7 linked regions of the Rattus norvegicus genome follow. The main gene of each other region encodes a partner of the protein of the gene in region 7 in a complex. Links are inferred from orthologs where the notes say so. Each region holds a gene or a part of one and is shown on either strand. Other genes may lie near its edges. The genes, in order: Nup214, Nup205, Cetn3, Nup153, Nup98, Nup107 and Nup85.

Region 1 (4,025 bases), on a different chromosome or scaffold from region 7:
CTAGGGTAGGACCCTGTCTCAGGCAAAACAAAGCAGCCTGACTCCAATCCTCTGCTTCCAATGCCCCTGAGCTTGGCAACACTTTGGAGCTCACGTCATCGCTCTTCACTTGTGCACTCCACTTAGCTCTCTGCCTTCAGGAAAGCCTTCACTGACCCTGTCTGCCACGGCTGCCCTAGTCATCGCCTGCCCTGTCTACTCTCTTCTCTTCACCCCCATAGCCCCATCACTCTCTGACTTGTCAGCACGTGGGATCCTTAAAAGCCAGGACTTCAACCTGGTCACCTCTGTATGCTCAGCTGTACGACAGTGCTCCACATACTACCTGCATTGCTTAACTATTTGATAAGTAAATGAACATTAAAAGGTAGGGGCTGGAGACGGCTCAGCAGTTTAGAGCACTGACTGCCTTTACCGAGGACTTGGGTTAAGTTCCTAGCACATGGTGGCTCACAATCACACAACAGTTTCAGGGGATCTCATGCCAACTTCTGACCTCTGTGGGCACCAGGCACACAGGAAATACACATACATACATACATTCAGGCAAACACTCATTCACATAAAATAAATAATTTTTGCTTTTTTTTTTTTCCCGGAGCTGAGGACCGAACCCAGGGCCTTGAGCTTGCTAGGCAAGTGCTCTACCAATGAGCTAAATCCCCAACCCAAAATAAATAATTTTTAAAAATCAAAATATTTCCAGGGTTGGGGATTTAGCTCAGCGGTCGAGCACTTGCCTAGCAAGCGCAAGGTCGTGGGTTCGGTCCCCAGCTCCGAAAAAAAGAAAAAAGAAAATTTCCTGGCTCTTCTAAATTACAGCATAAGTAAAAGTATCCACTTTTTTTTTTTTACTTCATAATCAAATCGTGCCTGTGGGGGTTTGAATGAGAGGGATCCCCACAGGTTCATATGCTTGAACGCTTGGTCCCCCATTTAATGGAACTGTTTGGGAAGGATTAAGAAGTACGGCTTTGCTGGAGGTGTATCACTGGGTAGTGGGGTTGTAAGATTTCAAAATCCCACACTGGGTGAGTGTCTCTTTTGCTGTCTGTTGCTCCACTCAGGATGTAAAGTTCTCAGCTACTGCTCCAGTGCCAGGCCTGTCTGCTACGATGCTCATGGACTGATCCTGTAAAACTGTAATCAAGCCCCCAAATAAATACTTTATAAATGCACACCAGAATTTTGGTCCCAGGACTATGGTGTGACATTGAAACCTTACACCTGAGTCTACCATAACAGGTATTAAGGAAAGGAATTTGGTTTTGTTTTTTTTTTTCCTTTTCTTTTTTTTCAGAGTTGGGGACTGAACCCAGGGCCTACCAAGCGCTTTACCACTGAGCTAAATCCCCAACCCCAGGAATTTAGTTTTAAGTTAGCATTCCTACAAGACTGCTGTGAGTCTCAGGAAACAGAGCTGCTCTTTCACAAGCTTACCGGAAGCAGAGCCATCACCACATCTGGACAGGTCTCCAGTGCGCCATCCGCACCAGCATAGACTATCGTGAAGACGTATGTACCAATCCACAGCACATCCAGAACTGAAAGACACACACCCCTAATTCCTAAGTAACCAATCTCAACAAGAAAGATGCAGCAAAGAGTAGCATGGGATAGCCACCATGTGCTAAAAGAGTTAACTGGGGAAAAGAAAAAGACAAAAGAAACAAATGAAGTACTGTGGCTTTTCCAAAGGTCTATCCTCTGAATAACAGTAATTCACAGACACAGGGTTTCAGTTGGCCCGATTTCTTAAAGCAGTGGGTTTTCTGAAGGATTAGTGTTAGGGAAACGATAAGGAATTCTTGTAAAACTGGAAGATCCATTTCAAGCTAAATAACTCACGACATTAAGTGTGGCTCCCACACTCTCCTGAGTAGGGACAGAGGATCTCACATGGCTAGAATGGCTGCAGTAGAGGCCAGAGAATGAGCAAAGCAGTTGTTACCTCTGACAGGGTGGTCTGCCTCATAAAACGGAGGACATGGAATGACCTTTTTTTCCTGCAATGTCTGAAAGAGATTTATAATGCTTCAGTCAGTGACTCAGTCAAATGCAATCAAATCCCCTAGAAGCTGGTGTTCTATCCTCCCGCCTCCCCCACTAGCCCCCCAACAGAGAGGGTAACACCATCATTTCCGAGCAGCATACCCAGGGAAATGCTCACACCAACAGCGTCAGACGCAGCTGATGAGATGGCTCGATGCAGTCGCACTCACAGTGCCCCAGCTACTGGTGCCGATGCATGTGGCCATCAGCAAGAGCATATGGGCCTTTCTACATAGTAGGTTACTATGGAGCCACTAGAGAGAGTCGCTCCCTGCACAGAGCTGGAAAGATGACCTCAGTCTACTAAGTTATTAAAAGTAAAAAGGCAGGGCCAGACGTGGTGACCCATATCTTTAATTCTAGCCCAACCCTGGAGACAGAGGCAGGCAGAGCTCTGTAAGTTGGAGGTCAGCTTAGTCTACATAGCAAGTTCCAGGACAGACAGGATTAGAGACCTTGTCTTAAAACAAACAAATGAGCAAGCAAGCAAGCAAATAAGGAAAAAGCAAAACAATATAAGTTAATAAACTGCATTATTGTTTTAGAGGCTAATACCTCCCAAAAGAGTATGCACTCAACTTCACATAACAATGTTTGACAACAACAAGCAAACGTGGTTGCCCATACTCACAGCTGCTAAAGAGGCTCAGTAGTTAAGAGTTCTTGCTGCTCTTACAAAGGACCTGAGTTCAATTCCCCAAACCCACATGGTGGCTCCCAACCATTCCTAACTAAGTTCCAGAAGATCTGATGCTGTCTTCCAACTTCCGAAGGTACATACATAAATGATCACAAAACACTGAGGACCATAAAATGAGAGAGAGAGAGAGAGAGAGAGAGAGAGAGAGAGAGAGAGAGAGAGTGTGTGTGTGTGTGTGTGTGTGTGTGTGTTCCCTTTGGGCATGGTGGTGCACACCTTTAATCCCAAAGACCCAGAGGCAGGCAGACCTCTGAGTTCAAGCCTACCTGGTCTACACAATGAGACCTGTCTCGAAAAAACAAAACAAAATAAAACGGGCTCATAAGGGGAGGAGAGAGTGCAACAGCAGGCGTATGTTTTGTTTGTTGCCGACAACTGGAAAAACTAAACCTTTAAGAGAGCTGAAAGATGGGGTTGGGGATTTAGCTCAGTGGTAGAACGCTTGCCTAGCAAGCACAAGGCCCTGGGTTTGATCCCCAGCTCCAAAAAAAAAAGAGAGCTGAAAGATAAAAACTGCCCATCGACTTCATTAACTCCTTTCTTTCCCTATGCAGGTTGCTAAACAGACTTCTTCCCACACATGGAAGATTTCCAACAAAGCCATGTATCAAAGCACAGCTATGAGTAGAAATACCTCCTTTTTTTTATTATTTTAACATGTCTTGATGTTAAGAAACCCCCCCCCCCCTTGGCAAGGCTGAGCAGTTGTAAGACCTTTAATCCCAGCACTCGGAAGGCAGAGGTAGGTGGAGCTCTGAGTTCAAGGCCAACCTGGTCGACAGAGCGAGCTCCAGGACAGTCAGGGCTACACAGAGAAACCCTGTCTTGTAAAAACAAACAAATGCAAACAATCCACAGCAGGCTGGAGTGGCCTAGAGCTTAGGAGGCAGAGGAAGGAGGACTAAGTTTGAAGATGAACTGGACCACATACTTGAGATCGCATCTGAAAAAGACACAAAGGAGAAGGAAGGAGAGGGAGGGAGTGGACATTTTTCTACTGAGACACCATGGTTTCTGAATGGCGGGAGATTGTGAAGTGAAGGAATAGTACCTAGCGTAGGCCACATTTCACTTTAAAGGAAAACAGAAACAATGCGCGTCCAATGGGTGAACTGGATGAGATCCATGAAAGGGAGGAGATGGAGCCACTCACAACTGTGGCATCACTGGAAGGACATAATGAGGGATAGATCAGAGTCAATCTTCTCCATTTACAGAGTCAGTATAATGAAGATAAATTACTTTTTATTTATTTTGTAGTGCTAAGGATTGG
Region 2 (4,025 bases), on a different chromosome or scaffold from region 7:
GAAAAGTAACTAGCAAGTCTTCTAAGCATTTGTAAATCAAACACTTCTATATATGCCAGTGACCAAAGTCATCTCAAGGAAAATGCCAAAATGTACAAACTGCACAAAAAAATGAAAATACAAACACTAAAATACTTAAACATACATAAAAAGTTTTAAGCCAACGATCTAGAAAACCAAAATGAAGGATCTGGGGTGTAGCTCAGTGAGAAAGCACTTGCCTTATATGACTGTGAGCTGTCTCACCCCTTGCACTACCAAAAAACAACTGGGAGAGGGGTGTGTAAGAAGGCTCAGTGGTAAAGGTGTTGAAAACAAGCCATTGGTTGTTCTCAGACTTCCACATGAAAGCACCCACAAAATATATATAAAATAAATGTGTCAATAAAATAAAAGGAAATAAAATAGACATGAAACACACAGACATAAGAGACAAGAATATTAGCAGCACTCCATAGGCATTTTCATTAACCCACTGCTTTCTAGAAAGCGTTCACAGTGTCCAATGTTTCTTCTGAAAAACATCCTTCCAGTTAATAAGGTTTGTATTATTTCACCTTCCCATTTCAGACTGTATTTGTAATACAATCGGTCAATTTCACCTTCCCATTCAGACTGTATTTGTAATACAATCGGTCAAATCTTAAGTCTATGCTAACTTTATTAGTTACCCAACATAGAGCGAGTTAAGACACAGTTTTAACTATTTCAAAACTTCCTATACTGTTATACTTACTTTCATTGGCATAAATGCAAGGAAGTCTGTAATAAGATTATGGATTCTGCGAATATAAAACTCTTCCTGATAGAAGTTTTCAGCCAGCACGACAGACTCGCTGAGGAACAGGAAGACATTATCGGCAATGGCGAGTTCTGCAATCGCTTCATCTGCTTCCGTGAACTCAGCCAGGGCTACAAAATTTCAGAAGACAGAAAAGCAGTGAGGAAAAATCTTTAACTCAGGTTATATCCTAGTGGATCATATTTCAGATATTTTTTTGAGCCTCCTAACAAGTGCTATACACAAAATGAGATTTATATAATTGTAATTGATTCACAAACTCCAAAGAACTACTTAAAGAGTACATTTGAAATACCAATATTGCTGGGTGTGGTGATGTATGTTTAGCCCCAGCACTCAGGAAGCAGAGGGTGGCGGACTTCTGAGTCTGAGACCAGCCTGGTCTCCGTAGCAAGCTGCAGGCCAGCCAGGACTACATAGTGAACTTTGTCTTAAACAAAACAAAACAGTAAGAACAACAATTAAAAAAAAAAAACAAAACAAAACACAAAACTGGAAGAACACTTGCTCTTCCTATAAGAAACTTTTTTATTTTTTAAGATTTATTTATTTATTTTTATGTGAGTGCACTGTAGCTGTCTTCAGACACACCAGAAGAGGGCATCAGATCCCATTACAGATGATTGTAAGCCACCATGTGGTTGCTGGAAACTGAACTCAGGACCTCGGGAAGAGCAGTCAGTGCTCTTAACTGCTGAGCCATCTCTCCAGTAACTTGTTAATTAATGTAATGTTACACTGGTATAGTCAGAGAGCTCTTATGCAAACATAACATGTAAAAACAATGTAGGGGCTTTAATTCTAGACATTTCCAGAGAGGTTTTCTTGTTTTGTTTTGGCTTGTTTTTTTGAGGCAGGGTCTCAACTGTCTAGCCCTGGATAGCCTGGAACTCACTTCATAAATTAGGTTGGTCGGTCTTCAACTCAGAGATCCTCCGGCCTCTGTCTCCCAAAAATCTAGGAGTAAAGGTGTGAGCCTTTGAGAGGTTTACCTCAGGAAAGACTCACCTTGAATGTGGCAAGTTTCATATCATAGGCTAGAGGCCTAGGCTAAATTTAAAAAGGAAGAAAGCAAACTAGGAGAGTACCACATGGTGTCCCTGCTTCCTCACTGCAGATGAACGCCATCACTTCTTACACTCCTTCTGCTGAGCCCTATCTGCCATGACAAACCCCGCAAACCAAGGGAACCAAAATAAACTCTTCTTCCCTTGAACTGCATCTTAGTCAGCAACCAACATACAGATGGCACCACCAAATCTTACAGAAGTGACAAGTCTTTGTATTTCAAATTACAATTAAAGTACAGCTTGCATTTGACAAGATGAACCACTCTAAGTCCAATAATTTCATCAATCTAGAGAGCAAAATAGGTTATCCTGTACAACACAGGATTAAGTAAACTCCCCTACTGTCTTAGTTAGGGTTCATTGCTGTGAAGAGACACCATGACTAAGGCAACTCTTAAAAGGTCAACATTTTGTTGGGGTGAGCTTACAGGTTCAGAGGTTCAGTCTATTATCAAAGGCAGAAAGCATGGCAGCATCCAGACATGATGCCGGAGGAGCTGAGAGTTCTACTTCTTCTTCTGAAGGCAGCTAAGACTGGTTCCCACATGGTTTGGAGAATAGTCTCATTGCCCACCCCCACTTACTTACTTACTTCCTCCAACAAGGACACACCTACTCCTACAAGGCCACACCTCCTAACAGTGCCACGCCCTGGGCCAAGCATATTCAAATTATCTATGCTTGATTGATCCAAATATCTCCTTCTCAACACACTGAGTTTAAAGAACTAAATCTTCAGTTTGATACACTGTGAAAAAATTTGTGAACAAAATCAAGAATGAAAAATTTTTTTAAAACTTAAATAGTAATAGTTGATTGTGGTAATACACATTTAAGAATCCCAGCACTTCGGGGTTGGGGATTTAGCTCAGTGGTAGAGCGCTTGCCTAGGAAGCGCAAGGCCCTGGGTTCAGTCCCCAGCTCCGGAAAAAAAAAAAAAAAAACAAAAACAAAAAAAAAAAAAAAAAAAAAGAATCCCAGCACTTCAGAGGTAGAGCCAGGAGGATAAGAAGCTCAAGGGCAGGCTGGAGAGATGGCTCAGTGATTAAGAGCACTGACTGCTCTTCCAGAGGTCCTGAGTTCAATTCCCAGCAACCACATGGTGGCTCACAACCACCTGTAATATACATTAAATAAATAAATATTAAAAAAAAAAGAAGAAGCTCAAGGGCACCCTTAGCTACATAGTTTGGGACAAGACTGGGATACATGATACCCTGTTTAAAAAGAAAGAACTAGAACCGTGGCTCAGTGGCAGAACCCTCCAGCCCTAGCACACATTCAGACGCTCTAAGGTCAATCAGTCATTAGCACCGCAAATAAGAACCAGAATAGGTGTGACTGCCTGTGCCTGCTGTAGGCCCACACTGCTGCTCCTACACTGAAGGTGACCTATGGGTCTCTTCTGAGACATCTCAGCACTACCTTACGTTACGAGGGGTTTGCTGTTGTGGTTTTGAGACAGTCTCTGTGCAACCCTGGCTGTCCTAGAACTCTATGTAGACTAGGTTGGCCCCAAACTATACAGATCAACCTACCTCCTGAGTGCTAACACAAGCCACTGTTCCTGGCTTGCAACTTTTTATCAAACTACTCGTATTTTCTCATGTTCATATTTACACTTTCTGATTTAAAATCTGATATTTGAAAAAAAAAAACCATTTGGGGCTGGAGAGATGGCTCAGTGGTTAAAAGCCTTGGCTGTTCCTCCAAAAAACCCAGGTTCTATTCTCAGCATCCACATGATACCTAGAAACCATTCCTAACTCCAGGGAATTCTTGGATCTTAGGTAACATCAGACACACATGTGGAATACAGACATATATACAGGTAAAACATGCACACATAAGTTATCTAAAAAATTTTAAAGGAAGAAAACACACACATTGCCAAGTATAGAGAGCGGCATAGCCAGTTATCTCAAACTTTCCTTACATTACCTGTCACATCAGGTAGCTGGGATATCCCCCTCAGTGCCAGTGCCCAGGCAAGTCTAACAGTGGCCTGCAGCCCAGGTAGCTTCCAAGGCTGGGAGTCCTGGAGGCGAGAGTGAATTGTGGCAATGTACTGTCTCTCTGTCAACAGGGGAAGGTGGTGAATCATATCTGAAAACACAAAACTAGACCACGTCAGCAAAAAACAGCAGAAATAA
Region 3 (4,025 bases), on a different chromosome or scaffold from region 7:
TTTATAGGAAATGTTTATTAAGTCTTTACCCAGGGAATTTAAGTTTTTGCAAAGGGGATTTTTTTTTTAAACTTAAATCTTTAGGGATTGAAGATTTCCAAGAAGATTGTAGGAGTAGCTGAGATGCAGTCCAGACTTAGACGGTGACAAAGCAGAGTGGCACTAGGTGTTCAGCACCGGGAGAGGCTTCAGCTCATGCAGTCCCTTCTATGAGGGATCATCAGTGCACTGCAAAGGCAGCCTCAGTCAGACTGATCATTATACCTAGTGAAGTAAGATGGGACTTCAGTCAGCGGAGTTTAAGGAACGGGAGACTGTGTTTTACAATGGTAGCTGATGAGAAGATTGAAGATGAGCTGAAGGGGATTTTGGAGGCAGAAAGTTCCAGACTTTATGGTCAAGGTTGTTGGTGTGAAAGAAAGACGCTCCATTTGAGAGTAAGGCAAGATAGTGCCTTCAGAACTGTAGTGTGCAATACTTGGATAATTAAGGGACATTTATGGTGTTGAGGGCGATGCCACTGTTTGAGAGTCAATGATGTAGGTACCTTTCCTTCAGTGGAGGTCTAAGAGGCTATGAATCCCATATGCTGCTATAGAAAGACTTGAAAGTCCAACATTTTTGAGTTTGAAATAAGTATTATATGTTTGGATAGAAACTTTCTAACATCTTTTTTTGAATATTTATTTATGTATTTTTTTTAATGTAGAAGTGCTCTGTTTACATGTATACCCACATGCCAGAAGAGAGTCAGATCCCTTTATATAGATCTCTTTTTAGATGATTATGAGCCACCGCGTGGTTGCTAAGAATTGAACTCAAGACCTCTGGAAGAGCAGCCAGTGTTCTTAACCACTGAGTCATCTCACCACCCTTAACATTATCTTTCATGATTTTGATTTTTTTTAGAATTTGATATTTCCTTACGTGATTTTTATAAGGTCTAATATTTTTGACAGTGTAGTTAAATTGTGTACCTTTGTAATTGGTTTTAGTGTGCTTTATGTCATTACAATGTAAAAATCAAAACAACAGAAAGCAGTTGCATGGACAGAAATCTGGAACTTTGTGAACCAGGAAATGACTTAGCTATGTGTGTATTAATTGCTTTAAAGTCTCCTATTAGACTATAGGTGTGGACCACCATGCCTGGTTTATTTCCATTGAAAAAAAGATGTCTTACAAAGAAGTCGTACTTGTCAGAGAGAAATGGAAGGCGATGGTGTAGAGGAGAGTCACCATAAAATACGTCATGTAGGGTGATGCTTCTGCTGCTCAGAGTTATGGCAGTTAGAAGTCCTAAGAAAAGTGCATAGTGTCAGAGACTATCGATAGGCGACTTTACTGACAAATGTGTCTGAAAGACTGATAGAGTGTGTCAGTGGGATAGTGTGTGGGCATGTTGGCCTCCTACGTGTTGTGGCTTTAAGTGCATTAGTGTTTTAGCCATCTGCCTTCCTGGTTTACCTGTCATGTATGTTACTTAATCGATGAAGAAAATTTCCTAACAGTTTTTTTCCTTGTCCTGTTTTCTTGTTGGGACTGAATTCAAACTAAGTTGAGTGTGTGCCATAGAGTTAAGTGTGGTGTTTTATTTTGGTGTTATGGCTGTAGGTATGCCAATTCCTGTTACTGAATATTTATGAGCTTTGATTTGCATACTTATAGTAATAGACTTCAATTAGTTTTTTGGAAACTTTCTTTGGATAAATTAATGGCGAAAGATAATTTTGGATACATGTGTATTTGACGTAGCGTTAGCTTGACTAGGTGCTTTCTCAGCCAAGTGGGATGAAGGAGCGGGAGACAGGCAGCAACTGGTACGGGACTTTGTTTTTTCACTTGAGATTCAATAAATATCCTAGCACTTTCCATCTACAGGCAGTTGAAATTTTCAGATGAATTTGTAGATCCCAATAAAACCAAGTCACTTTTAATGATAGGATGATAAATGCCTTTTCTTGTAGTAGCAGAATAACATATGGCATTACTTCATAAATGTTTACTTAGATATTTTGAGAATTCTGTCAAGCAGCATAAAATTTTATACTATAGACATTAGGCATTAGTTTTTATTATGACTTGGTTAAAGGCCTATGCTATTAAAATATATAAACTTAGTCTATTGATATGTGCCCTTATTTTTTATATATTAAAATTTAGTTACTGACATCTTTAATGACTCATATCTATTTAACTTGTTTTATTTTGCTGAAATATGATTTAGACCTGCTTCCAGAGGGGATTTAACCCCTATTCACTGATGCTGAAACCAGTGCTGATAACATTTGCATTTACTAACATGTCTTATGCCTGTATTGGCACTGACTTCTGTTAATTTCACAGGCTTAGTTGGATACAATAGAGGAAGAATTAGGGTCTTAAACTAAGCTAAGAGCTTTCACATGGCCAGGGCAAATTGTTCACTTAAACTTAGTGACCTGAGAGAGGTGGTATAGTGTTTTTGTGGACTTAATTATTTTATGTGGTATATTTACATATATACCATATATATGAGTGTTTCGCTCGTGTGAGTTTGCACTTGAAGGGCCTAGGTTAGAAGAGGGTATTTTGGGCCCCTGGGACTGGAGTTATAGACTGTCGTGGTTTGCCAAGTGCTTGGTGGGAATTGAACTTAGATCCTCTGTAAGAACAAGTGTTCCTAACTGCTGAGCCATCTCTCATCCTCAGTTTAATTCTTAACAATAGTAGTAAATATAGTGTATATATGTTGTCCCATTTTTGGCCTTTGTACAGTATAATTTAACTTACATTTATAATACGGACATTAAATGGTTAACATGTAAAATGTGGACTTAGAATTCAGGTTTATTTCTGAGTTTTAGTGATCTACCATGACGTTTAATTATTAGACTGAGTGTTGACAGACTCCTGGGTGTTGCTCTCAATGAATAGCTGATTTTTACATGAATGTCCTCTTTTAACTCTAGTGACAGACTGGATACTAGAAAGAGATCCACACGAGGAGATCCTGAAAGCATTTAAACTATTTGATGATGATGATTCAGGAAAGATAAGCTTGAGGAACTTGCGCCGTGTTGCCCGAGAGCTGGGTGAGAATATGAGCGATGAGGAGCTCCGGGCCATGATCGAGGAGTTTGATAAGGACGGCGATGGGGAGAGTAAGTTCACCTTACTTTTCTGAAGTCTTGAGTTTTGGGACGCCAGTGAGTTCTCCCCATCCCACTCTTTCTTTCCCTTTTAGTTTTAAAGATGAAACTCATGATACCTTAAAGGTTATTTCGAGTTTGACCTTGTACTTCAGATCCTTTCATCCCAGCGTCCTGAATGGTGCGAGCCCGGCTGGATGCCACGCTGTAAGCTTCATTTATACTGAAGCAGATCCTGTATAAGCTGTAATGTGAAATAGCACGCGTACTTCTCTGAAGAGGAAATTGCGCAATTTACGAAAAGTTTAGATTTCGGTGCTTTCTCCCTTAACCTGTTTACACTTCTGAACTATAACTAAATTCGTAGATTTTTCTTTCAACCACTTTTCATTTGTTTTTGTTTGTTTGTTTTTTTCTCTGCTGCTCGGTTTTAGGTCATGAGTTCTATTTAAAATGTCACAGTGTTCTTTCCTTGGCTGCCCTGTGTATGTCCTACCTGTCCTGCAAATACACGCTGGTGTCTCACAGCCTTCCCCGTGTCCTGTGGCTTAGGAGCCTCCACCTCTGTTTGCAGTCTGTCGATTCTATTCTTTTCCTAAATGTGGGTTCTAGCGCTGTCGTTTCCATGCTCAGATGGGAGAGCGGATCCTCACTACCCGCAGAGTAAAGTCCACACATAGTGCCGAGCTTGCTTTATTCCTGCTGCGTCAGCTGTTGTGTATAGAACATCTCCATCCTGAGGACACTGGCTTTGCTGCTTTTTTCTTGTATGTTTTCTAGATGAAGCTACACTGCCTGTGGACTCTTGTCTACTTGAATTCTTGTTGGGAGATGAGCGTGTCATATCCTCATAAGCTCTTCACATGTGCTACTTAACTGGAGAGGTCACAATTC
Region 4 (4,556 bases), on a different chromosome or scaffold from region 7:
AGGCTGGCCTCGGCCTCTTAGCAGCTGTGATCTCAGGTATGCACCTCTATATCCAGCTATCTCTACACTCAACTGTTACTTTTATTTGGTTGATCAAGACAGTATCTTTCTAGTTCGACAACTTCAAACAAGGTAGCTTTTTTTAAAAGAAAACTTAAAAGTAGAAAAATGCTAAAGTTTAGACATTTCCCAGAAGACCTAAACCAGAAGTCAAAACAGGAAATCAGAAGTCAGCTGAACATGAGACAGGAGCCACAGGTACTACTGTGTGACTGCAGTAGCTCTTTGGCCAGACATTTGCTGCCCTGCATCCACCAATAGCACCACTGCTTACTTCTTCTAACCTTCTACTACACAACCAAAGGTTTTATTCTGCTCAGAGATCTGGACACTTATCAAACATCAGTATGAAACATGCCATGTCATGAAGCTCCTCACTATACCCAAGATGACTCAGCAGCTGCTGAAAAAACCAGCTGACGAGCTCTGCTAGTAGAGGACAATGACATCCACTAAGTTCCAGGTAAGACTAGTTACTTTAAGACAGAAACAAACACTGAGCTGTATTCTTTAATATAATCCCGAATACTTTTCTTCGGTTGATTCTGCCAATATTAAATCAGCAAATCAAGAAAGTTATCTTTAATTCCAGGTCAAAGATGTATTTACTTTTTAAATGACTGAGGCAAGAAGCTAACATTACATAAGTTACAGCTTAACTACTGAGCCCTAAAACTATACAACCTGAAATCTGGATCAGCTCTAAAACACATTGGGCTTTAGTTGGCTCAACTTCTCTCTCAAATTAGTTTTTTTATCTAAATACATTTTAAAATAAGTTGTGATCATAACTTTTGTTTCCTTCTAAACTCTATCATAATATCACAATATTGACTTCTTTCTAAACTCTAGCCAAGCCATCCATTTCTCTGCTCAAATTGTTTTCATTTTCCTTTAACAAGCATTCAGGTGATTCGTTACTCTTAGGAGAAAAGTATGTTTGTCTTAATGTCCACTGTACAGTGTCAGGTAAAGTAAAATGGCCAGGCTTGGGAAATCTTCGTCTTAAAAATCTGCTTGGGAATAATACCCCTGGCGCCTCAGCATTCTGCACACATCTAGGGAAAATGGTAATATGCCAAGGCTTCCAACCAAGGACAAATAACTTCTCAGTATATAAACCACAGCTTTTACTATTCAAAATTTTACCTATCTTTACTTTTTAAAATCCCGAAAGTGATATAATTTAACATTACCAAACAAAAACGCTAAGTATTCAATTTTAGCACTAGCCAGGATAAAACAAGAAAAATCTACATTTACGAATACGCAACAAGTTATTTACTAGCCCTTCTTCAATAAGCTTAAAATACACACTTCCTACTTTAGTACACGAGGCCCTGTAAAAGTGGCTTTGTTAAAGTGGATTTTTAACATTTTAATTCTCACAATTTCTAAAAACTCAAATTTTTTTCTGAACCGAATATCTCATTTACAACAGAAATCGACATTTTTATAAACACCCTAAGAAGGCATACGGTGGCTTAACCTATAAGATTACCAACACTCCTAGAGAGTCCAAAATACCTTACACTTCTAGAAAATGCCCAGTATTAAAAAATATTTGGTGTATAAGATAAGAGTTGATCTCTGGTGAACTGTAGAGAATGGCTGATTCTGGTCTTCAGAATACAGAGCGGGGTGGAGAGGAGAGGGAAGAATCGCGCATCAGAGACCAGACGTAAGAGCGGCGAGGGACTTTCAAAACGCCTCAGTGCCACATAACTATAACTCAGTTAAAAGAGGAAAGGACGAGAAGCTAAACCAGTGTGTTCAGATCTGGAAAGGCCAAGCAGGCAGACGAGGGGACTGAACTATCACTATCATTTAAGATTAAATATGGCTAAAACGGAATTAATCCACTATCCGGGTAACAGCGCCCCCTCCCCAAGTCTCTCCCGGCCCCGGTGGCAGATTAACCTCCCCACGCACCCTAAACCCGGGAACATCAGAAAGAAAAAGCCTGCCAGCGGATAGGCCTGTTGCCACATCTTTCCCTTGTTCCCTCGCGAGGTCGTGAGTAATACCATCAAAACCCCAAAACCCGCCAAAAAAGAAGCCGGAGTATCAGAAGCCTGGAATTTCTTTTCCCGCCCTGCGCCCGCCGGGGAAAGCCCCTGGGCGGGAGGGCTGGGAGAGGCCGCTCGCACCCCACGTGTGCGACGCCAGGCCTGGCCAGGCTCTACCCACTTCCCGTCGCCACCCCGGCCCTGTCTCAGGCCCTCTGGTCCCCTCCACGTGGGGCGCCGGGGCCTCGCACCGCCCCCCAGAGCGGCTACCCGGAGCCGCCCAGTCCTGGCGGCGTGCTGGTCCCGTACCTGGTGTTGGGGTCGCCCCTGCTGGTAAGGCTTCACCGGCCCCTGGTGGCAACGACGCGTCCGGATCTTGCCGCCGCCGCCGCCCCCTCCTATGCCTCCGGCTCCTGAGGCCATGGCGGAGCCTGGGCGACCTCCCACTACCGCTCCCGGGCGGGAGAGGCAGAGGCGGCGGCCTGAGGGCCTCCCCCGCCCGGCCCTAGGCGACACACAGACACAGCGAGAACCGCGAGGGAGCGAGCGGGAAATGAGAGTTCGCGCGGCGAGGAAGGCAGTGGCGGCGGCTGAAGGCCGTGAGCTGGCTGAGGACCGCCGGCCGCGTGCGGACCCCCGCGTTTGTGTTTGTCACCGTCTCTATGGAGATCTCCCGCCGAGGCCGGCGCGAGCAGCTCCGGGCACCGCTGAGGCCTAGCTCGACCGCCCGCTGCTGGAGGCTCCTCTTCAGCGGCCCTGGCCGTCGCTGCCGCAGTCCAGGCCGCCGGCGCCGCCCGCCAACCCCTCCCCTGTGCGCGCTGCGCCCGCCCCGCCGCCGCCGCCGCCGCCGCCGCCGTCGTCGTCCCTGCAGTCGTCGTCGCCGCCGCTCTTGCGCCTATTACCGCTGTTGAGGCGGCCGCCGCGGTCGCGAGCCAGAACACCGTCACTCCTCAGCGACCGACGCGTCTGCGTCATCACGCTGCGACGATGTGGGGGGATGGGCAAAGGAAGGAAGGGTTGGCCGAGCCCGCGCTCTCTGTCGCTGGTGCCTCTGGGAAATATAGTTTTTCTGGCAAGAGCGCGGATTCTCGGAAAGGAAGGCTGCGGCGGAAGGACACCCGCGGAGCTCCGCAGAGGCACAAAGCCCCGGTCATTTGGCGGCAGTTGGCGGTTTAGATTCAGAATGGCACTCGACGTGAAAACTGTAATCTCCCATTCATCAATTATAAGCGGAATGGAAGTAAACAGTAAAAATCAAAGAACGATAATTTGTCACAATATGAGAGAAAAAAAAACGCTTTTAAAATTAACAGTGGCCGTGATCCCTAGGCCTAAAACAAGTAGAAAAGGCATTTGGCTTCTGATTGGCATTTGGCACTAGTTAGAGGTTAGCCTCAGCTTCATAGTGAGATACTGTCTCAACAAAAGCAAAAAATACAACTTCGTTACTGTTTCATTAATCATATAAGAGCTTTGTTATCAACGCGCACGGTGTTTGCAGTCTGAGTTCCTTCACTACTTACAGACTTGACCTTGGATGACTACCAGCTAGGAGCTTTAAAATCCACCTTATAAAGTTGTGGGGAGCTAGTGCGGTCAGTCATCTGTGTAGAGCACTAATAGATTTCCTGGTATACAAGAAACGTAGTAAATGATTGCAATTATAACCTATGCAATCAACACACATTAAGGATGACTCATACATTCCTAGTAAACATATTTGCTTCAGTTAGTATTATAGTTTGGAAGGTAATTAAACACTGTACCCTCAAAGGCTGAATAAACGGTGTCAAAGATGCAGGCATTAGACAAAAGGTCTGTGTGGTCATGTGATCCAGCCTAGTCATTTCAATGGACTATATGGAAACCAAGAAACTTTAAGAGGTACCATTAAGGGTATCGGTTTGGCTGGTGACACACGCCTTTGATCCCAGCATTCAGGAGTCAAATGCAGGTTGATCTCTGTGACTTCAAGGCCAGCCCGGCCTACAAAACAAGTTCCAGGACAGCCAGGGCTACACAGAGAACTGTCTTTGGGGGGGAGGGGGGGGATGAAGAGGAAGAGGGTGGATATGGAGTTGGGCATTCAAAGCCAGGAAGGACTATAAGCCAGTTTTTCCATGAAATAAATAAATGATTAAAAAGAATCGCTTATGAAAAAAATCGTCGACTTAATGTTCTATTAGAGAACAGTGTTCTAAAGTGTATAACTATAAAATCAAATAGATTGTTTAAATCTGTCACTTACTAGCTGTGTGGCCTTGGGGAGATTACTGATCTTCTTTCAAAGCTTCTCTTTCCTCATCTGCAAACAGAATGAATATTTACCTCAACGGAAACATGGTTCTGCTTACAATAGCTGTACAGACCGAAAGCGCTCAGTACCAACCAGAAATCAGCTACCGAAAGCAATCTCCATGAACTTTTGCACCAGCCCACCCCCAAAGTGTACAATTCAAATCACTATTGAAATCAAATTAATAAAAC
Region 5 (3,987 bases), on a different chromosome or scaffold from region 7:
TTAAAGTGGCTCGTAACTGTTCCTAATTCCAGTTCTTGAGATCTGATGCCCTCTGGCTTCCACAGGCACTAGGCACATATGTGGTGAACAGATATACATACAAGTAAACCACAACACACGTAAAATAGTAATAAACTCAGACAGACAAAACAAAAACAACCATAATGCTGAGAATTGAGAGTGGGAGTGATAGGTATGACAAATACACTGTATACATGTAAAAAGTCCTTGGAGAGTGCTGCCAGACACATACAGCGCTCTGGGATTACAGGGGTGTGCTAACAGCTTGCCTTTTTATGAAGATTCTGAGAAGTGAACTTGGGGTGTCAGGCTTGTGTGGTTAGTGCTCTGATATGCTGAACTCACTCCTCAGCCCCCTTGTTCTCTTAACTTAGGATCTGTTTCTTTCTTTTTTTTTGGTTCTTTTTTTCGGAGCTGGGGACCGAACCCAGGGCCTTGCGCTTCCTAGGTAAGCGCTCTACCACTGAGCTAAATCCCCAGCCCAGGATCTGTTTCTTAAAGATTCCAGAGTTCCCAAAACACAAAGACAAAACCACCAGGAATACTATAAACATTTCATTTTATTTTTTTTTTAAGAAAGTACTTCAGAAAGAGGAAAATAATCTAGATCATTTATATATATATTTTTTAATAAAAACCTTTACATAATCTTCATGCATAAAGACCCAGGGGTGGCCATATTGTCTGTGACAGCCCCAAATATCCGCTCTTTCAGGCTAGTGCCTGGGACTTCCCATAGCCAGCAGCAATGTGGTGAAGGCCTTCCCTATCTGCCCCTGGGCCCAGCCAGACCTGTCGCAGTGACAGCTTTACCTTCTGAGAAATGTTCTTGGCTAGATGGGAGGGCAGGGAGGAACACCCTTGACATTCTTCATCTAAACTCCTCTGGCAAATCGAGGAAAATGACTGATGATCAAGGGTCAGAGCAGTTCTGGGGCTTCTCAAGAGTTGTTCTCTGTAGCTTGGGGCCACTGCACATGATAGCATGGTGTCCAAAGGATATACAAGGCATGAGTAAAAGCCTTGAAGATCTCCGCCTCCATGGTAGACAGCCCTTCTTTCTTAAATATGTCAAAGAACAAGGTCCAACTCTCTTGATTCCCAAACACACTGTTAACTGAGAAATCTACTTGAGAGACAAATCTGTAGTAAGGGAAGGTCAGTCAGTCATATATCTGGGGTGAGAGTCAGAACTCTGGGTGTGGAAAAGAATTCCCTGGGTTTTGGGAGGTTCTGCCAAAGAGGTTTTATTGACCATTTTTCAAAAGAAAAAAACTGAATGGTCTTGAGGTTGATCAATGGAGACCTGTGTTTTTTGTTGTTGCTGTTCCAGAAGCCCTTATGAGCTATGGTAGGATATGCTCAGTATTATGAAAACCCCTGAATAACTAGAGGATGCTGCGAAGGGCAGCGAAGAGGAGCGGAGGACTCCCAGAGATTGGCAGAGTGTCAATTAAAACAATGTGGGAGACTGTGGTGGCGAGTGCGGATGGGCAGGAGCCAGGCTCATTGGCTCCCAACAGTCAGTTCTCGAAGGTAGGACTGGGTAAGGCCTCGCAGTTCCTCCAAGGCATAGTCCTCAGGCATAGGGAGCCTGCCAATGTGGGGAGCCAAAAGACGCAAAGGGACTCGCTGAGGGTCCGGAGTGGAGTTGGAGGTGGCGTCAGGAGTGTGCTGAAGGCTCAGAACTACCCGCAGTAAGTTGGCTACCCGCTTGGCCATATCTAGAGAGAAATACCAGAGTGAGTACTGAGAACAAGGCACTGGTGTCGGGGTAACGGCCATGAGCAAGCAGAGCCCACATGTTTACCTGACTGAGCCAGGCGATCCTTGGCATTGTAGCACGGAATCTGCTCTATCCGGTTACACAGTGAAGTCACTTTGGTATGTAAGTGCTCTAGTTCATAGCCTGAGCAATCCACCTACAGGAAAACAGAAACCAGTAAGGACAAAACAAACCTCTACCTCACATGCCTCCATCTCAGCACTTCAATGCATGGTCTACGGAATGAGTTTCAAGACAGCCAGGGCTATAAACAGAAACCCTGTCTCAAATAACAAAACCAAAACACTACCACCACCAAAACAAAAAGCCCCATGTATACCTCAATCCCACTCACAGATTACACACAATCCTAAGGACAATGATAGGAGGGGAGAAAACCCAAGAGCTGGTGGCAGTGCCCACGCTACCACCATACCACCTAGTTGCTAAGGCAAGGTACTAACAGTGAACATGAGGGAGTGAACACAGAGCCTTGGGCTGGACAGGTCCTGAGATATGATTCACAAGTCACATAATTTTTACACAACACCAAAAAACATAGGATACATCTGATTCAGACACATAGTATGACACTCAGCAACACACATGTAGTAAGAGGTGACACTTAAACCAGCATTTAATTTACAACTCCTTATTCTAAAGTCACAGCCATTTCTAAAACAGTGCAGGACCTACTCATTTATACACTCTCCTGATCCATCCCTACGGTTCCAACTATAGTCAATGTATTGATTTCTAAGTCCTCAGTTCTAGCCCAACACCAAACTTCCGTTCCTGTGCCACACTCCTTGTTGAAGCTTGGACCACCATTACTTCTCACCTTAAACACCTTAGGAGCTTGGCCACACTACTGTGTTACTCTCTATAATCATGGTGTTGGGTTGTTTTTTGTTTTTTTTTTTAAAGATTTATTTATTATATATAAGTACACCGTATCTGTCTTCGGACACACCAGAAGAGGGCATCATATCTCATTACAGATGGTTGTGAGCCACCATGTGGTTGCTGGGATTTGAACTCAGACCTCTCTGGAAGAGCAGTCAGTGGCTTAACCACTGACCCATCTCTCCAGCCCAATCATTTGTTTTTTTGAGATCCGGTCTTGATATGTAGCCCCAACTGGCCTAGAACTTGTATATTCCAGGCTGGTCCCAAAGTTGCCATTACCCTCTTGTTTCATCATGGCATATTATAGGCATGTAGCACCACACCTTGTCAGAGACATTAAAAACAAACCAGATTTACTTTTCTCCTGTCACCAGGTCAAAGGATGTCTCCTTTCACTATGTGAGTTTTGGAGACTGAACTCAGGTCACCATGCTTGGTTACAAGTGGCTAGAACTCACTTTGAAGAGGGCTTGCAGAATTCACTAATTTATCCCTAAACACAAACTACTCTTACCCTCTGCTATCTTTGCTTGAATTTTACAGACAAGAAAACCTCAAAGAATTGTAAGCTGCGGAAATAAAGAAACCAGATGTCTGTTTCAAAGTAGGGGAAACTTCCTTAAGTAGGCCATTTGTCAGCTGAGACCTTTCTAAAAACACGTCAAGTTTGTAAAAGAAACAGCTAAGCCCTGTAAGGTGCAACACATGCGGTAAAGAGGAAAACAGCGAAACAGAAGGGGAAAGTTAAAGATAATATTTTGTGCATGATGTTTATCAGCATGTATGAGGGCAGAAGAGGGCACTGGATCTCCTGGAACTGGCTAATGTCTATGAGCCACCATGGGGGTACTAAGACTTGAACCTCTGCAAGGGCAGCAAGTGATTTTAACCACTGAGCCATCTCTCCAGCTCCAGACTGGATTTTAAGTGAGGGGTGCGTTTCATTCGGTTATGATTATGAATACCGAGCTACACTCTGAGTGGCATATAATCAACAACCCATGGCAATCTTTTCCTTTACTCTGTAGTATGGCTGGCTTACTCAGTCTTCCCCACTGAATCAGTAAGGAAAAAACGTGCTGTTTACCCCAGTAGCTCCCAAATCCACAGTCCTCAGCATATTTTGGGTTCTTAATGACTATACTGCATAAATGAACTGATTTCAACTAGAAATGTTTCTTCAGTGACTACTAAAATATGCCACTATGTACCTGGCTTAGGGCTATTAATCAGAAATGGATAAAAACAGGAACTGTTATCAAGATTTTAGTAAAGGTAAGGTAGTCTTGTGC
Region 6 (4,025 bases), on a different chromosome or scaffold from region 7:
GCTAACAACCTGACCGTCTGCTGTCTACATTAAAATGGCAAGATTTGTTCAAAATTAGTGCTAAGACAAAGCTCTCGATCTTCTCAAGACATGTTGTAAAACAAAAATATTTTAAAGCTAACATAACAGTCCTCAGATATTGGGGCTGGAGAGGTGGCTCAGCAGTTACGAGCACTGGCTGCTTTTCCACAGACTCCAACTCAGTTCCAGCATCCACACAGCTCACACCCATCTGTAACTCCAGGAGATATAATGCCCTTTTCTGGTCTCCACAAGTAGTAGGCATGCAATGGGTGCACAGACATCCACATAGGCAAAACATCCATCCAAACAGACTGAAAAAATGGTCATGACTAACAGCTTAACAAAACTATATTATAGGAGGAAGACCAAGCAGGAATGGGGGAGGAAGTGGGTGACCTGCAAGTCAAGCAGAGAGGCAGACCTCAAAAGACCTAACCTGGAACGCCTTCATCTTAGATTTCTAGAATCTAAAATTTTGAAATAAAAGTATTTTTTAACTTACATCACTCAACACACACACACACACACATACACACACACACGCACGCATGCACACAATTGTTGGAACAGAGTTCCACTAGGTAACCCTGGCTGTCAGGAAATTACTAGGATGATGAGGCCAATGGCAAACCCACAGCGATCCATCTGCCTTTACCTCCCAAGTGCCGGGTTACAAGCCTGTACCACTATGCCCAGGAAAATCACATTTTGACGATGTGCAGGAACAACTAAGCTACTTAAATCTCAAAGCCGTTTACCAGCCTCTCCAGGGTCATCCTCCCGTAGCATGACAGTACTTAGGTTTATGTCCTCAGTCATACTATGGTGCTCCGTGTTTGTGTAGAACCCTAAACGCTGGGATGAGAATGCAGCTGCCCAGTTGCTGTCATCAAGGTTAGTCACCTGAAAAAAAAAAAAAAAAAAAAAAAAAAAGGAAAGCAATAAAGCCATTGTCATTAAATAGGTAAATTACTGCTGAATAAAGTTTTTTTTCCCGGGGTTGGGGATTTAGCTCAGTGGCAGAGTGCTTGCCTAGCAAGCGCAAGGCCCTGGGTTCGGTACCCAGCTCCGAAAAAAAGAAAAAAGAAAAAAAAAAGGTTTTTTTCCCACCTTATCTGGTTTTCATTTTTAAAATATGTGAGCTACAGTCTTCTTTAACTTTTATGTGTTTGTTTTGCCTGATTGTGTCTATGCACCACATATGTGCAGGGTGCTTACAGAGGCCAAGAGAGAACACTGGACCCCCAAGGGTGCAGTGGTTGCAAGCCACCATGTGGTGCTGGGAATCAAACCAAGATCCTCTAGACAAGAAGTCAGAGCTCTTCACCACCAGCCCTAATATCTGAGAATTATTCTTTCAGCTTTAAAATGTTTTTGTTTTACAACAGGTCTTGTGCAGCCCAAGCATGCCTCCAATGTCCTATGCTGCTGAGAATGACCTGGAACTCCTGATCCTCCTGCCTCTATCTATCCCGAGTGCTGGGATACCAGGCAAATACCACCACTGAGACCCTGGCTTCGAGTCCCCAAAGGAAAAAAAGATGGGTTTAAGCACTAACAAAGCAAGGATAAAAGGCAAAACTATGTCCAGAAGATATCTACTTTAGATAACTTCATATATGCATCGAAATCTCCCTGAGTATTTAATAAACCACAATGTCAAAGACAGAATCATTTTGATTTATAATTCAATATGCCTTAAGAGTTACTAATATGGCACAATGTGTTTCCTTCCTCAATAGGATCCATTTTCCCTAGTTGGTATTCTTTGAGTAATCAGATAAAGCCCCTGTGCACTGTAGCGCATATGATGTTTCCTCTGCTGTTTTCAGTACTATGCCACAGTGGTTCCTAGAGTGTCTCATCCTTTCCTAAAATGTTCTCTTCTGTCTTGAGGGAAAACCCATCATAGAGTCTCCAGTACGTTCATACCACAGACACATCAAATGTGGAGAAGAGGGTTTCCTTACAACAGCAAAGAATCAATTGAGAGCAGACACAGGCGGGGTCCTCCACTCAATCCAGTGGATGCTCTCCTGGTCAGACCCCACAGGCAGGCAGTCCTACTCGTCCTGACAATGTCTGACATCCCCTAGCAGTCACTTTCTGCTCTGCTGTGTGGAGGGTGCAGAGGCCAGGGCGGGTGGCAGGCATCCTGCTCACTTACCTCTTCACTTTGGGTTTGAGGGAAGGGTTCTTACAGAATCTGGGCTCATTCTTCCACCCATCTCTCCCCAGGCCCCAGCTCTAGGGTTACAGTGTTGCCATATCCAGCTTTTACTTTACTGCTGGGATCTGAACTAGGGTCCACATGTTTGTGAGACAAGCAGTTTAATCCTCCCGCCTTCTTTATACTTTAAAACAGCGGCGCGCTGTGGCACCTGCCTTTAACCCCAGCACTCAGGAGGCAACCAGGCCTACAGAGCAAGTTCCAGGACAGCCAGGGCTGCACAGAGAAACCCTGTCTTGAAAAAACAAAAACAAAACAAACCAACCAACCAACAAGCAAAACAAAAACAAGGATTGGCGTTAACAGTCATCCACGGGGGGTTGGGGATTTAGCTCAGTGGTAGAGCGCTTGCCTAGCAAGCGCAAGGCCCTGGGTTCGGTCCCCAGCTCCGAAAAAAAGGAAAAAAAAAAAAAAAAAAAAAAAACCAAACAGTCATCCACGGTTATAGGATGCATTTCATTTGGTCAGTAAACTGCTAGACTCTGGTATCTGACCAGTATCTAGATGTTACTGCTGTCATTTTCCTTTTGTGACATGACATATTCTAACATTTGGTTTTTTTTCAAATGTCTAACCAAAGATATCACTCCACACAACCTGAAATTATTCTCATGATGAATATAACTTTAACTTTCATTGAACGGCTTTCAAGTGCCTTTAAGTGTCAAACTGCATTTATTTATACATACCATGGAAAGATTTCCCAAATACCCAGAAGACTGTATATGCCGGGGAGACCTCCCTTCCGTCCCAAAAATGTAGGATATATCTGGGTGTCTTAGTAAACTTCGGCTTGGTGGAGTAACTGTAAGTGGAAAGAACACTGTCAACATAAAGCAAGTAAGCCAGCAACAAAATATTAAGTTTTCAGAAAGCAGGGCCAATGGCTCACTTGGTAAAGTCCTCACTGCACAGCATGCACCCATGTAGAAAACTCAGGCATGGTGGTGCATGGTTGCAACCACAGTGTTGGGGAGAAGACAGGAGAACCAGAGGTCACTAGGCAGCCAGTCTAGACTAATCAGAAAAGCCCCAGGTCCCAATGGAGGACCCTGTCTGAAAACACTGGATAGCTCCTGAGGAACAATACTCAAGGTTCACCTCTGGACTCACACATGCCTATCTATCTATGTGCATGTATGTTTGCATGAACACATACAACACCCCAGACATGCACACAAGAACATGCATATATACGTATATGCACATCTATATATACATGAACATGAAACACCCACATATACCCACAATTTCTCAGTTTTCAATTATTTAGATTCTAATCAAACAGTTTAAATATTAACATTTTTATATTATGAAGAATTAACTTATTTTTCTAAGATTGAGCTTACCACGCTGACTATTAATTTTTTTTAGCTACAAAGGGCACTTTTAACTTTTTTTTTTTTTTTTTTTTTCGGAGCTGGGGACCGAACCCAGGGCCTTGCGCTTGCTAGGCAAGTGCTCTACCACTGAGCCAAATCCCCAACCCCAAAGGGCACTTTTTATCTAGGTGTAACTGAGTAGACATCAAATGAGCACAGGTGACACAGCTGGCAGATGTTCATCATCTAAATTCAGAGAGCACACTGGGGCGTGCCCGGCAGTGGCCAGAGCTCTGAATCTGGTTTCCACTGTCATCTAAATAACAGACAGCACCAGCTCACTCACGCTGGCTTCTTCAAGTCTGCCTTCCGGTTTGGAAAAGCAGATAACAGTATGTTACAGCCACTATGTGTTGATGTAAAGTACAGTTCCTTGTTCATAAGCGTTT
Region 7 (4,547 bases):
TCTGGGTGGTCTGGAACTGACTATGCAGACCAGGCTGCCCGTTAGCGAACATCTGCCGGCCTCATTTTTAACTCTTCCAAGAATGAGATCGAATCAAGGGCTTCTTTGGTCGTGTTATTTATATTCTTTTTACTTTGGTGGGTGGTGGTGTTCAAGGAACACACACAAATGAAGTAGGACTCCACAGCGAAGAGTTGATATACCAAGCCACCGAGTCTTCTAACAGCATTTCCCCAACCTACAACTACATCCTGGGAAGGCACCCTGGAGACCAGGAATCCTCTCCAAGGCGCTCCGCCACTCAGGAGGATAAGGGTGCCTCTCACCACGACTCCATTAGAGCTCCAGCACCCACCACTCACTGAGCTTTCCTGGATTTCCCGGACAGTTCTTCCTCAAGTCTTTGCAGGCCAACGAAGATTCCATGGGATTCGTTGAAGAGTTTTCTCAAAATTTGAGAGTAAACATCGACATCTTTCCTTATGATATAAATAAAGGGGCAGCTCGGGACCTTCTCTGATTTGTCTGCAACAAAACAGGAAAAAGGAAACAAAAACTAATTTAACATCTATCATTTTCCCCCAAAGAGAAAACACTGCAGTATTTCTAATTTTTTAGTCACAAAAACTGGCTGAGCATGGGGGGCACATGTCTACACACTCAGCAAGAGGAAGAATGAGACAGGAGGATTAAAATGAAAGAGAAGACTAGTGCATGCAATAGACCAAGCAAGCCAGGTCTATGATAAAAGAGAAGAAGAGGGGTGCTGGAGAGATGAGTCAGTGGTTAAGAGCACTGACAGCTCTTCCAGAGATCCTGAGTTCAATTCCCAGCAACCACATGGTGGCTCACAACCATCTGTAATGGGATCTGATGCCCTCTTCTGGTGTGTCTGAAGACAGCTACACTGTACTTATATATAATAAATAAATAAATAAATAAATAAATAAATAAATAAGAAGAGGAAGAGGAAGAGGAGGAAGAGGAATAAGAAGGAGGAGGAAGGGGAGGAGGAAGAAGAGGAATAAGAAGGAGGAGGAAGAGGAAGAGGAGAGTTTTTCAAGTGGAGAGCTGAGATGGGGTCCTAGTCTAAGCAATCCTTCTCCCTAAGCCTCCTGGGCATGCCCATGCTGCCCATGCCATCACTGAGCGACAGCCTACGTCCTTGGTTTTTTGAGAATGGGTTCGGCATCGTATCTCAGGCAGCCGGGAACACTCTATCCTCCGTCAACTATTCTGCACAGTAAAAATTCTACGACTGCAAGCATTGCCTGAACCCAAGAGTTTGCCTTCAGCTGGGGCAGGCAACACAGTCCGACTCATTTCTTTTTGTTGTTTGTTTGGTTGGTTGGTTTTGGTTTTTCAAGACAAGGTTTCTCTGAGTAACCCTGGCTGATCTAGAATTCATTCTGTCGATCAGGCAGGCCTTGAACTCACAGATCCACCTGCTTCTGTCTGCGGAGTACTGGGATGAAAGGTGTGCGAGTGTGCGTCACCACAGCTGAGCTATATGGCTCGTGTCTAAAGGTCCATTATAGGAAGGGTGCTGAAGAGATGGTTTGGTGACTAAGACCACTGGCTGAAATTTCATATTTTTATTCCTAACACTCAGGAAGAAAGGGCAAATAATTTCTGAGCTCAAAACCAGTGTGGTCTAGAGCCAGTTCCAGGACAGCCAGACCATCTCAAGAAACCAAAGACGACCAAACAAGACGTACACAGGCAGCTCTTCCAGCCAAGCTCTTCCAAGCTCGCATATGGCAACTCACATAAATATACAGTTCTAGTTCCTAGAGTCCAGGGATCTCTTTTGGCCTCTGCAGGCACCAAGCACGAAGTGGTGCATCAATAGGCATGCAAACAAAACTCCCATGCACAGACGACAGAATTAAAAAAAAAAAAACAAAAAAAAAACAAAAAAAACTTTGTGTTGTGTGACACACCTCAAATCCCAGCCCTCTGGACATCGAGGTTGGAAGACGTAGTTTCCGAATCCCACATATGTTGCACAAAGACAAGCCCACTAGGACTATATAGGGGTAACTTGTCTCAAAATAACAAAAAACAGTTTCAAACATAAAAAAATGTTGCCAAATGACTTCAGTTTCCTGCCCCTGATAGTCAACAAATGTACCAAGACAAAAGTGAACAAGAACTACCTACCTGTTTTGTTGAAGGAAGTTTCACATAGGAGCATCTCCCCTGGGCCCCAGTCAAAACACATTTGCTTCTTCTTGGAATTCACACCTGGAATCCACTAGTAAAACAGAAGGCATAGGAACTGTTAGCCCTAGTTAGGGCTTTCTTTTCATTCAACTTCCAAGTGTGATTGCGGACACCATAGTTCAGGCAGGCAGCCTAGATGGTATCCAACGGTTCTGTGCACATATCCAGACATATACACACACCTTAAAATATTTCTATGTAAGCGGAATAGAATACAAAGCGACAGAAACAAGTGGTCTATAGTCTCTCGTGAGAATAAATTACGCACTTATTAAGCTTTGAGCCAGAGGAAGAAGCCAACTGAGCTCTTGGAGCGACGATGTGGAGCTTACACCAAGCTCATTCTAACGCCCAAGGAGAGAAACTAGAGAAGCAGAAAGGTTAGAGAAACAAGGGATGATGCAGTGGGGCCTCCGCGGCCCGGCCAGTATTCACAGGACCCGAAGCCTAGGGACCACCACCGCCCTAACCTAGTTCCCAGTTGATCTGACATTCTGGATGGTGGCAACTGTGTCCAGAGAAAAAGCATGCGTCCCACATGTACGGAGGCAAGCCTGAAGTGACCAAAGAAACGTAACCCTCACAGTGAGACAAGCAAGCCTCTCCGGGCGTCCTTACAGTTACTGCGGGCTCGCAGTCGAGCTCCTCCATAGTGCGGTGCGCCCGCAGCAGGGACCCCTCCGCGTTGCTGCTGTTCTCAGCTCAGGCCTCCCGCTCACAGCCAGCTGCCAAAGAGGACCCCATCAGGGCGGCTTCCGAAGCGCCTGCACATCTCAACGCAACAAATCCCTTCGCCTCAGCCAAACACAGGCCTCTGCAGCTTTACACACGTCTCCTACTATTCTAACCTAGACAACACCTCAGGAAAACGTCGCCAGGGGCCACCGGTCCTCACGGAATGTTCCCACTAGATCAGGCGGCGCCATGGACAGTCCCACACTAGGCAAGAGGAAGGCCCCGGGAGATGGCGGGAGAGGAGGTGGCTGGGAGGGTGTGCGCGTGCGCAGATCCTTGCTGTCGCATCTCTTGGGATTGCAGAGCTACTCCGCCTCAGTAATCCTATTTTAGCTCTTAGCGGTAGTTGGGATCCCTCCCTCAGGGTCTGTTATTAAGTATTCTCAGTCCCTTTCTCTTACTCCGACAAGTATAACGCGCTTACTTTGGAATTGGTCGCGGGCATTGACACCCCAAAACAACAGGACTTCAACCTTTTATGTACTGGCCACTTTTCTTTCCTTAGGATTATTCTAAACCTCCTCTACCTTAAATTGTTGGGCATACATGACTTGAAAGAAGGGCACGGTGGCTTAAACCGGCAGTTGCAGCACTTGGGAAGTAGAGACAGAAATTCGGAGTTCAGAACCAGCTTTAGCTATGTAGCAAGGTTGAGCTCACTTGATGTGAGGCTAAGTGAAACCCAGCCTCAGAAAACAAACTCCCACCAGGCATTAAGGAAATAAAGAAAAATCTTTCTGTCAAATTTTTATCCAAGTCCTAATCACTGAAATCAATGATTTGGGGAGCTGGACTGATGGCTCAGTGGTTAAGCACATATGCTGTTCTTCCCGGGTAACTGGATCAATTCAAAGCACTCACATACACATGGAAAAATCCCAGGCATTCTGATGCCCTCTTCTGGCCTCTGTGGATGTGAGGCGCACATGTAGTTCACAGACATGCAGATATGCATGCAGCCAGTATACATACAATAATTTTTAAAAGACTGAATTTACTGTACAGTTAAACAAAATCTACCACATATGATCAGAGCTAAATAAACAATTAATTAAAAAAAAAAGTAAAGAGGTAGAGAGATGGCTCAGTGGTTAGGAACACTGACTGCTCTTCCAGAGGTCCTGAGTTCAATTGCCAGCAACCACATGGGCTCACAACCATCTGTAATGGGATTCAATGAATAAATTCTGTTTTTAGTTTTTCGAGACACACAGAGAGCTGACTACTTCAACCTCCTGAGTGCTAGTAGGATTAAAGGTGTGTGCACCACCACCTCCCAACAATTATTTTAAGAAAATAATAGTCAGATGGATTAAATAAAAATTGTCAGCAGAGTATGTTGACACCTCCTTGAAATTCAAGAATTTGAAAGGCTGAGGCCAGAGAATTGCCATGACTTGGAGCCCAACAAAACTATGTCTCAAAAAGCCCTAAAAGGGGTGCTGGAGAGATGGCTCAGTGGTTAAGAGCACTGACTGCTCTTCCAGGGGTCCTGAATTCAAATCCCAGCAACTACGTGGTGGCTCAGAACCATCTGTAATGAGATCTGATCCCCTCTTCTGGTGTGTCTGAAGACAGCGACAGTG

The links.
Region 1: Nup85 (region 7) and Nup214 share a complex: the UniProt entries of both Homo sapiens proteins name them as parts of the nuclear pore complex. The link is inferred for Rattus norvegicus from reciprocal best matches to the Homo sapiens genes NUP85 and NUP214.
Region 2: the proteins of Nup85 (region 7) and Nup205 are in contact, whole or in part, in a cryo-EM structure (PDB 7TDZ), measured with the Xenopus laevis proteins. The link is inferred for Rattus norvegicus from reciprocal best matches to the Homo sapiens genes NUP85 and NUP205. Residues at the interface, in XP_041431608.1 of Xenopus laevis: Ala86, Glu87, Glu88, Ala89, Ser90, Gly91, Lys92, Ser93, Arg94, Lys95, Pro156, Pro239, Met240, Gly245, Thr246, Gln247, Thr248, Leu249, Thr250, Glu251, Phe252, Glu253, Leu254, Lys255, Trp256, Gln257, His258, Trp259, Pro315; in XP_041443600.1 of Xenopus laevis: Glu1477, Cys1480, Arg1481, Cys1484, Asp1485, Ser1517, Gly1518, Tyr1519, Leu1520, Lys1521, Val1522, Val1524, Asp1525, Ser1574, Gly1575, Gln1582, Gln1638, Gly1641, Gln1642, Gln1645, Val1648, Leu1690, Asp1691, Ile1692, Gly1693, Leu1694, Asn1695, Asp1696, Gly1697, Ser1698.
Region 3: Nup85 (region 7) and Cetn3 share a complex: the UniProt entries of both Homo sapiens proteins name them as parts of the nuclear pore complex. The link is inferred for Rattus norvegicus from reciprocal best matches to the Homo sapiens genes NUP85 and CETN3.
Region 4: Nup85 (region 7) and Nup153 share a complex: the UniProt entries of both Homo sapiens proteins name them as parts of the nuclear pore complex. The link is inferred for Rattus norvegicus from reciprocal best matches to the Homo sapiens genes NUP85 and NUP153.
Region 5: Nup85 (region 7) and Nup98 share a complex: the UniProt entries of both Homo sapiens proteins name them as parts of the nuclear pore complex. The link is inferred for Rattus norvegicus from reciprocal best matches to the Homo sapiens genes NUP85 and NUP98.
Region 6: Nup85 (region 7) and Nup107 share a complex: the UniProt entries of both Homo sapiens proteins name them as parts of the nuclear pore complex. The link is inferred for Rattus norvegicus from reciprocal best matches to the Homo sapiens genes NUP85 and NUP107.

What each region holds. Positions count from the first base shown.
Region 1 is NC_086021.1:35,659,133-35,663,157, reverse strand, and holds part of Nup214 (nuclear pore complex protein Nup214), read right to left. Parts: intron 2,016-4,025; coding exon 1,952-2,015; intron 1,545-1,951; coding exon 1,441-1,544; intron 1-1,440. UniProt on the Homo sapiens protein: Part of the nuclear pore complex. Has a critical role in nucleocytoplasmic transport.
Region 2 is NC_086022.1:64,835,488-64,839,512, reverse strand, and holds part of Nup205 (nuclear pore complex protein Nup205), read right to left. Parts: intron 3,979-4,025; coding exon 3,814-3,978; intron 913-3,813; coding exon 737-912; intron 1-736. UniProt on the Homo sapiens protein: Plays a role in the nuclear pore complex (NPC) assembly and/or maintenance. May anchor NUP62 and other nucleoporins, but not NUP153 and TPR, to the NPC.
Region 3 is NC_086020.1:13,831,367-13,835,391, forward strand, and holds part of Cetn3 (centrin-3), read left to right. Parts: intron 1-2,951; coding exon 2,952-3,143; intron 3,144-3,911; coding exon of another isoform or gene 3,912-3,985; exon of another isoform or gene 3,986-4,025. UniProt on the Homo sapiens protein: Plays a fundamental role in microtubule-organizing center structure and function. As a component of the TREX-2 complex, involved in the export of mRNAs to the cytoplasm through the nuclear pores.
Region 4 is NC_086035.1:18,176,926-18,181,481, reverse strand, and holds the start of Nup153 (nuclear pore complex protein Nup153), read right to left. Parts: upstream 3,027-4,556; 5' UTR 2,493-3,026; coding exon 2,379-2,492; intron 1-2,378. UniProt on the Homo sapiens protein: Component of the nuclear pore complex (NPC), a complex required for the trafficking across the nuclear envelope. Functions as a scaffolding element in the nuclear phase of the NPC essential for normal nucleocytoplasmic transport of proteins and mRNAs.
Region 5 is NC_086019.1:165,905,842-165,909,828, forward strand, and holds the end of Nup98 (nuclear pore complex protein Nup98-Nup96 proprotein), read right to left. Parts: intron 1,944-3,987; coding exon 1,832-1,943; intron 1,746-1,831; coding exon 1,528-1,745; 3' UTR 564-1,527; downstream 1-563. UniProt on the Homo sapiens protein: Plays a role in the nuclear pore complex (NPC) assembly and/or maintenance. NUP98 and NUP96 are involved in the bidirectional transport across the NPC. May anchor NUP153 and TPR to the NPC.
Region 6 is NC_086025.1:55,277,422-55,281,446, forward strand, and holds part of Nup107 (nuclear pore complex protein Nup107), read right to left. Parts: intron 3,060-4,025; coding exon 2,944-3,059; intron 928-2,943; coding exon 783-927; intron 1-782. UniProt on the Homo sapiens protein: Plays a role in the nuclear pore complex (NPC) assembly and/or maintenance. Required for the assembly of peripheral proteins into the NPC. May anchor NUP62 to the NPC. Involved in nephrogenesis.
Region 7 is NC_086028.1:101,303,788-101,308,334, reverse strand, and holds the start of Nup85 (nuclear pore complex protein Nup85), read right to left. Parts: upstream 2,901-4,547; 5' UTR 2,878-2,900; coding exon 2,845-2,877; intron 2,258-2,844; coding exon 2,164-2,257; intron 526-2,163; coding exon 363-525; intron 1-362. UniProt on the Homo sapiens protein: Essential component of the nuclear pore complex (NPC) that seems to be required for NPC assembly and maintenance. As part of the NPC Nup107-160 subcomplex plays a role in RNA export and in tethering NUP96/Nup98 and NUP153 to the nucleus.